2 linked regions of the Xenopus tropicalis genome follow. The protein of the gene in region 1 interacts with the protein of each later gene in a pairwise test. Links are inferred from orthologs where the notes say so. Each region holds a gene or a part of one and is shown in the gene's direction. Other genes may lie near its edges. The genes, in order: adarb1 and prkra.

Region 1 (3,818 bases):
GCGTATTAGATATATACAGATTATAATTATGAAAAGTGATGCTAATTCATTGTAATACTTACAGTGTGATCTTCTATGTGATGAAAATAGTCTGTTTGGCAAACAACTTACTTGTTTTTAACCGGGTGCTTACACTTTCCATGCTGTTTGCAAGCCAAACCATCCAGTGGTGACTCATATTGGGAGGAAGCATACCACCCCACACCAGCAGATGCCTTTAACAGATTTAGTGCCACTTTACTCTGCAATAAATGTGTTAAAGGCATCTGCCGGTGTAGGGTGGTGAGTCTCTTCTGTGTGATGGCATGATACAACTTCCATACATTTCTATTTCTTCTTTTTGATAAAAAAACAACATCTTCAATACTATTATTTTCTTTGTTAATATATTGGGCACGGTTTGTTATAAAATGTTTCAGCAGTCTGTACAGAATACAGTTCTTTTTTTTTTTAATTTCTGCATCCAGCTAAGAACTAAAACTTGTTTTTGCTTCAGCAATTAAGCTATCATAGTATTTATTTACAGAATCTATTGCTCTGTAGAAATTAGCAGCAGAATTATGGTACAGGTATGGGATCCCTTATCCGGAAACTCGTTATCCAGAAAGTTCCAAATTACAGAAAGACCATCTCCCAAAGACGCCATTGTAATTATTATTAGTTATTATTAATATTACTTATTATTATTATTATTATTACTTATTACTAATATTATTATTTGTAATCAAATAATTCACATTTTTTAAAAATGGTTTCCTTTTTCTCTGTAATAATAAAACAGTACCTTGTATTTGATCCCAATTAAGATATAATGAATCCTTACTGGAAGCAAAACAATCCTATTGGGTTTATTCAATATTTAAATGATTTTTAGTAGACTAAAGTTATGAAGATCCAAATTACAAAAGGATCCCGGAAAAGCCCAAGTCGTGAACATTCTGGATAACGGGTCCTATACCTGTACCAGTCTTGTAAGAAAAACTTAAGTTTCACTATACTTTAGATGTGGATTTCATTTTCTTTAGCTTGGCACAGTGAATGTAATTTTTGTTATTTCGAGGTATGGGTTCCATTATCTGGAAAACCATTTTACAGATAGCTCCGAATTACAAGAAGGCCATCTCTCATAGAGTTCATTGTAATAAATTTCAACAAATGTATACACTTTGTTGAGATCCTATTACACTTTTAAATTGCATCTAAATTCTCTTAACTGTTGGTAAACTTGTTTCAGTGTTCTCCTCAGCCCCTTTTATCTGGGTGCATCTCGAAGCATTTTGTGTAAGTTGCCCAGCTCACTGCCTTCTGGGGAGAACACTGCTTTACAATTAGTGAGGAAAGAAATACAATGCTTATTCCTTTTTTTCTTTTGCGTTCACTGCCTTTTTTTTGACCAGTATTTAACCAGTAATCTCTTAAATGTCTTTTACATTAACCCGTAGTGACTGTTTGCCTTTTTTTGGTCTGTTGAGCGCCAAAAAGAGTAACCTATCAAGCTTTTGCTGGAGGATGTTATAAATGAAAATTTAGCAATTATTCCATCAACTTTGTTGGCTGGGTAAAGTGGTGTGTGTTTGCTTAGTTTATATAAGATTCCTGAGAAGAATAACCTTTGTGATAACTCAAGTAATGAAAAGCCCCAATTTATCTGTCTTTAAATATCCATATCTGGGTGTTGTGTGGTAAGATATTGAGATATCCATTTCACTGCCTGTGTAAAGAGATATAAATTAGAATAAAATATGTAGTGAAAAATTAGAATAAAAACACCTCTTTTTTTGTAATCATTGGTTTATATAGACAGTCATCTATAATGATCAGTATTATTTTAATGTTTGCCCGTAATTATTTACTTTTCTCAGAAACCGCCACCCTTTTAATAGGAATAAATAAAAACTCTTTACTACTTGTAGGTAGTAAACGTAAAAATAACCTATGGGATGTGTTTTAGGTATTGAATTGTAAACCCCATAACATTGTTGTGCACCTTAGATATGCAGTAATACCATTCTGTGACCACACAACACTGAACCAGTGACAAAAGTAGATAAAGGAATCTATAAATTTTGCATTTACAAGATCCTGCGACGAAGGCGTTGTAAGTTACTCTTTCTGGGCACTACAGGTTCAAGCAGCGCCGATGTTAAGGAAAATCGCATGGATGGAGCTTCAGCAAAAGAAGGAAGTGGCCAAGCCACCGGGGATGGGGCTCAGCTTTCCAATGGGAGTGAGGGAAGCAACAGCAGAAAACGGCCTTTAGAAGAAGGCAACAATGGCCATTCCAAGTTCCGTCCTAAGAAGAGGAAGAAAATTCCAGGCCCTGTGTTGCCAAAAAATGCTCTAATGCAACTGAATGAAATTAAGCCTGGCTTACAGTACAAACTTATTTCTCAGACAGGACCTGTCCATGCACCTGTCTTTATTATGACTGTTGAAGTAAATGGGCAAGTTTTTGAAGGTTCAGGACCTACTAAGAAGAAGGCTAAACTTAATGCTGCCGAGAAGGCTTTAAGGTCATTTGTGCAATTCCCAAATGCATCAGAAGCTCATCTAGCAATGGGCAGAACTCTGTCTGTTAATACTGATTTTACCTCTGACCAAGCGGACTTTCCAGATACTCTGTTTAATGGATTTGAAAAACCAGAACAGTCCGAGCATGTTTTTTTCTTGGGCTCTAATGGAAATGAATCCTTTAATTCTGCAAATGACTATAGCTTATCGATGATTGGAAGCAGTAATTTTATTCAGTCTCCCCTTCCAACACCATCTTTGTTCCCACCAGCTAGTGGAAAAAATCCTGTAATGATTTTAAATGAGCTTCGTCCTGGCCTTAAATACGACTTTGTCTCAGAGAGTGGTGAAAGTCATGCCAAGAACTTTGTGATGTCTGTAACTGTAGACAATGAAACATTTGAAGGATCTGGAAGGAACAAGAAGCTTGCAAAGGCGAGAGCAGCACAGTCTGCCCTTGCATCGCTTTTTAACATGCACTTGGATCAGACCCCATCCAGACAGCCTATTCCAAGTGAAGGCCTACAATTACATTTACCCCAGGTATGAACAATATTTATTTCCTTTAACCCTACTTTTACTTCTGTTTCCTTTACTTTTCATTTTGCCAAAGTCGCACTCCTTTGTCAACACTTTGCAAATTGGTACCTGGGGCAGTAACCCATAGAAACCAGTGAGTACAATTTGTTGAGCTGGCAGGAAAAGGAGTATAGAAACTTTTTGATTGCTTTTTTTTATTTTCTGATATCTGCAGACATTTTAATATGTTCCATTAATATCAACTAATTTAGCTTTGTCTTGTTTTCAGTGCAGTGTTTAATAATAAATATATCATAAGATCAGAAAGCTTTGCGCAGTAAAAGTAAATTGCTTTCTAGAAGATGCAGAAAGACTATATGATGGTAACAGGTGTACGCATTTTAATTTTGGGGTTCTTCGGACCTTTAAATAAAGTGAGAGGCCTGGCTAATACAGATGTGTGTGGTAAGCTTAGATGTAAGACTTAGTGCAGTTTTCATATTAGGCAGTATGTTAACTATGAAACTAGACATTTATTCAAGAGATATATGGTTTAATTACGAGATATATATGGTTTTTGTTATATCTGTTTCTAAGGCTAGTGCCACACGCTTGGTGGATTCGCTGCTTTTTTTTCTTGCCTGTCCCAGAACTATTGCATTGTCCCGGGTGCAGGCATGTTTTATTTCCTAATTAAAAAAATTTATGTTCAGCCCTATTCATTGAACCAGCATTGAAAAAGGGGGTAGGAAGAGTCCAATAAACATCCATTTTAATAACTCATGCGG
Region 2 (4,481 bases), about 8.7 Mb from region 1:
AGAGAAGCATGTACGGTATTAGCTCCCTTAGCCCTCCCGTTCCCAGAGAAGCATGTATTAGCTCCCTTAGCCCTCCCGTTCCCAGAGAAGCATGTATTAGCTCCCTTAGCCCTCCCGTTCCCAGAGAAGCATGTATTAGCTCCCTTAGCCCTCCCGCTCCCAGAGAAGCATGTGTTAGCTCCCTTAGCCCTCCCGTTCCCAGAGAAGCATGTGTTAGCTCCCTTAGCCCTCCCGCTCCCAGAGAAGCATGTATTAGCTCCCTTAGCCCTCCCGTTCCCAGAGAAGCATGTATTAGCTCCCTTAGCCCTCCCGTTCCCAGAGAAGCATGTATTAGCTCCCTTAGCCCTCCCGTTCCCAGAGAAGCATGTATTAGCCCCCTTAGCCCTCCCGTTCCCAGAGAAGCATGTATTAGCCCCCTTAGCCCTCCCGCTCCCAGAGAAGCATGTATTAGCTCCCTTAGCCCTCCCGTTCCCAGAGAAGCATGTATTAGCTCCCTTAGCCCTCCCGTTCCCAGAGAAGCATGTATTAGCTCCCTTAGCCCTCCCGTTCCCAGAGAAGCATGTATTAGCTCCCTTAGCCCTCCCGTTCCCAGAGAAGAATGTATTAGCTCCCTTAGCCCTCCCGTTCCCAGAGAAGCATGTATTAGCTCCCTTAGCCCTCCCGTTCCCAGAGAAGCATGTACGGTATTAGCTCCCTTAGCCCTCCCGTTCCCAGAGAAGCATGTATTAGCCCCCTTAGCCCTCCCGCTCCCAGAGAAGCATGTATTAGCTCCCTTAGCCCTCCCGTTCCCAGAGAAGCATGTATTAGCTCCCTTAGCCCTCCCGTTCCCAGAGAAGCATGTATTAGCCCCCTAAGCCCTCCCGCTCCCAGAGAAGAATGTCGGGGGCCTCGCTGACACGCACATCCCACAGCTCAGGGAAAGCATGCTGCGCCTGCGCACCAGCGCGCCTCCTTTTATTCTCCCGACCCCCCCACACCCGGACTGTCCCCCCCACACCAGGGCTCCCAAGGGCTGACAGAGACGAACTCTTCGCGACAGCAGATGATGCTGACCGCGGCCCCATACGGACGGACCGGGGAGCGCCAGGCGCATCTCCCAGGGAAAGCCCGGGGCACTCCGGCAATACATGGGGCAGGTAGGGCTGTGCGAACGGAGGAGTCTCCCAGCTGATGTTTTTTAGTCCGCGCCTACTCTTGCTCTCCGTGCCCGCTGAAAATCAGCAAATAAAACAACAGGCACCTCCGCGAAGAGCCATCGCCCTGAAGCCAGTGTATTAGGGTTAGCTTAACAGAGACCTCCGTTCCCACTGAGCGTACCACGCTGTGAGACAGGTACTCCCTGGCTCTAGATATGAACCAGCTGCCATTTCCCGCCCACTCTGCTGCAGCCAATGAAACCCAGGCAATTCCAGGCAGCGCGCTGATTTACTAGGCATAAGCCACGCTCCCTGTAACCTAGGAAACAAGCACCTGCCCCTGTCGCCCTGTAGTTTTCTAAAAATAAATAAATAAATAACTACAATTCCCTCTAAATCCTGTTTTTAGTTTCACGAAAGCGGTTCCTCGGGAATTGTAGTTTATATCTATCGCTTAACGATTGCGCATGCGTTCTTACCGCGGCTAGCGAAATTGACAGGCAGCTGGAGGCCGGAAGCGGAAGTGCAGCCTACAGCCGGCGCATAGAGAAACCTTCCCTGCGCGGCTCTAAGCCTAGGAGAGTAGGGCTCTCCCCATTCCTCTGCTATGTCCCAGGAGAGGTTTCCAGACGCGCCCAAAAGGAGCTGTGAAAAATCCACCAGGTGCTTGGGGAGAGATTAGAGCTTGTCTATGGTTGGGGTCAGGGAGCTGCCGCTAGAGGTTTGATATAGTGATGCTGGAGTTGTAGTTCATACAGTGTCTGTGGGGCATAGTTTCAACCTTCCAAATCTGCTTAATGGTTGTCTTGGTGTTGGGTATCTGTACATTGTAGGACTTTATATTACAAGCTTACAATCCAAGGTCCCCTTTTTCATTCACACATACACAAGGACAGTTTGATTGGGATCCAGTTACCTGTATGTTTTGGAGTGTGTGAGGAAACTGGAGGAATCCCACAAACACACAAACTGGTCTTTTCCTATACCTGTGTAATGGGAAAAAGAAGCTGCTCGGATGAGTAGTGAAACATCTTCAATGATTACTTAACAAGTCCAGTTAATTTAGATTTAATTATACTAGATACACCATGACCTGGATGAATGAAACTCTTCATAGTCACACTGATCTTTATTTTCCATTTAGGTTAGTGGCAAATGCATCTTTTGAGTGTTGATCCTTGCAGTTTGTAATTGACATTGATTAGAAAAGAGGTGGGTCACTGTGGTCACTTAATGGCAAAGTGTTGCTGGTGCCCAGTGATTCTAGTGCAGGGCTACTCGCAGTGCTTTCATTTCTGCATTGCTACTGATTTCTACTGCTGCTCAATTTCATTTGGTTTCTCTCATTAAGTGCCTGTGCAGCCTGTTCTTTAGATTGGTGGCACAAGTATTATCAGTCCAAATTACCCATGGGCAGATGGAGGACTGCACTTGACTGGATGACAGAGAGTTCAGAAGGCTACAGATAGAAAATGACAATACTTTCATGAACTATAAAATATCCTAAATGTTGTGACCTTACATTACCCAGATCAATCAAACTGGCAGCAAATACTGAGGGGCAGTTGCTCGTTGAACGGGTACCTATTCTAGTCAAACTGCTTAAACCTCTGGAGGTTCAGGCTACTTGAGCTCACACTGCAGAGGAAGTTGGTGCTGGCAGCCATGTTTGGTCAGACATGTAATGAGTGAGTCTGCCGGCTTTTAGGTTATGCACAAGTGTGCAACCCTGATTCTTAATCACACTACTGTGGCAAACCTTATTGTCCACATGCTTAGAGTCCCAACGTGGCTTCTTCCCAGTGCAGGTGGCATTGCGGTCACTAGGAACATGTGTGGGCTCAATTTGCGTACACCCCTGGCAGGGAAAACTTTGACTATGATGGTGCCCTTTAAGTTAACTTTTTAATATATTATAGAATGTCCTTCTCTTAGCAACATTTAAATTGCTCTTCGTGTTTTATGTTCCATAGTTTTTGAGTTATTTGCTTTCCTCTACTGTCTCTTTTCAGCTTTCAGTTTGATAATCATGGAATATCTGCAGTTTACCCTCTGCTTAATATCTGACTCCCTGTGCTGGTTGAATATTGGCATCTTAAATGTACCTTATACCTCCACTAATACCCTACTTTCTTATCTCAGCGTGGAAGCAAAGCTTGCAACCAATCCGTGCAAAACCCCCATTCAGCAGCTGCATGAATTTGGAACAAAGACTGGTAACCCTCCCGTGTACACCTTAATAAAAGCAGAAGGAGAAGTACATAACCCTAGTTTCACTTTTCGGTTGGTTATTGGTGATATAGTTAGCTCAGGTATGTTCTTTAAGTGGCCTTTTCATTGGTGGGAAACGTTATGCCTTTTCCATTTACATAGTAACATAGTAAGTTGGGTTGAAAAAAGACATACGTCCATCACGTTCAACCATAATGCCTATATCTAACCTGCCTAACTACTAGTTGATCCAGAGGAAGGCAAAAAACCCCATCTGAAGCCTCTCTAATTTGCCGCAGAGGGGAAAAAATTCCTTCCTGACTCCAAGATGGCAATCGGACCAGTCCCTGGATCAACTTGTACTAAGAGCTATCTCCCATAACCCTGTATTCCCTCACTTGCTAAGAATCCATCCAGCCCCTTCTTAAAGCTATATAATGTATCAGCCAGTACAACTGATTCGGGGAGGGAATTCCACAACTTCACAGCTCTCGCAGTAAAAAATCCTTTCCGAATATTTCAATGGAACCTCCCTTCTTCTAAACGGAGTGGGTGCCCTTGTGTCCATTGGAAGGACCTACTGGTAAATAAAACATTAGAAAGGTTATTATATGATCCCCTTATATATTTATACATAGTTATCATGTCACCTCTTAAGCGCCTCTTCTCCAGTGTAAACAGACCCAACTTGGCCAGTCTTTCTTCATAACTGAGACTTTCCATACCCTTTACCAACTTAGTTGCCCTTCTCTGGACCCTCTCTAACTCAATCATGTCCCGTTTGAGCACTGGAGACCAAAACTGAACAGCATATTCTAGATGGGGCCTTACCAGTGCTCTGTAATCCGTGAATCTATACCCCTTTTAATACAGCTCAAAACCTTGTTTGCCCTTGCAGCTGCTGCCTGGCATTGCTTGCTACAGCCAAGTTTATTATCTACAAGGACTCCAAGGTCTTTCTCCATTATGGATTTGCCTAGTGCAGTCCCATTAAGGGTATACGGGGCTTGCATATTTTTACATCCCAGGTGCATGACCTTACATTTATCCACATTAAATCTCATCTGCCACTTAGCTGCCCAGATTGCCAGTTGGTCAAGATCCTGCTGCAGGGATGTCACATCCTGGATAGAA

Evidence for each region.
Region 2: the proteins of adarb1 (region 1) and prkra interact in binary tests that used the Homo sapiens proteins (3 or more experiments, as listed by UniProt). The link is inferred for Xenopus tropicalis from reciprocal best matches to the Homo sapiens genes ADARB1 and PRKRA.

Annotation. Positions count from the first base shown.
Region 1 is NC_030685.2:55,408,406-55,412,223, forward strand, and holds part of adarb1 (double-stranded RNA-specific editase 1), read left to right. Parts: intron 1-2,079; exon of another isoform or gene 2,080-2,125; coding exon 2,126-3,054; intron 3,055-3,818. UniProt on the Homo sapiens protein: Catalyzes the hydrolytic deamination of adenosine to inosine in double-stranded RNA (dsRNA) referred to as A-to-I RNA editing.
Region 2 is NC_030685.2:64,075,164-64,079,644, forward strand, and holds the start of prkra (interferon-inducible double-stranded RNA-dependent protein kinase activator A homolog A), read left to right. Parts: upstream 1-1,637; 5' UTR 1,638-1,743; coding exon 1,744-1,799; intron 1,800-3,278; coding exon 3,279-3,448; intron 3,449-4,481. UniProt on the Homo sapiens protein: Activates EIF2AK2/PKR in the absence of double-stranded RNA (dsRNA), leading to phosphorylation of EIF2S1/EFI2-alpha and inhibition of translation and induction of apoptosis.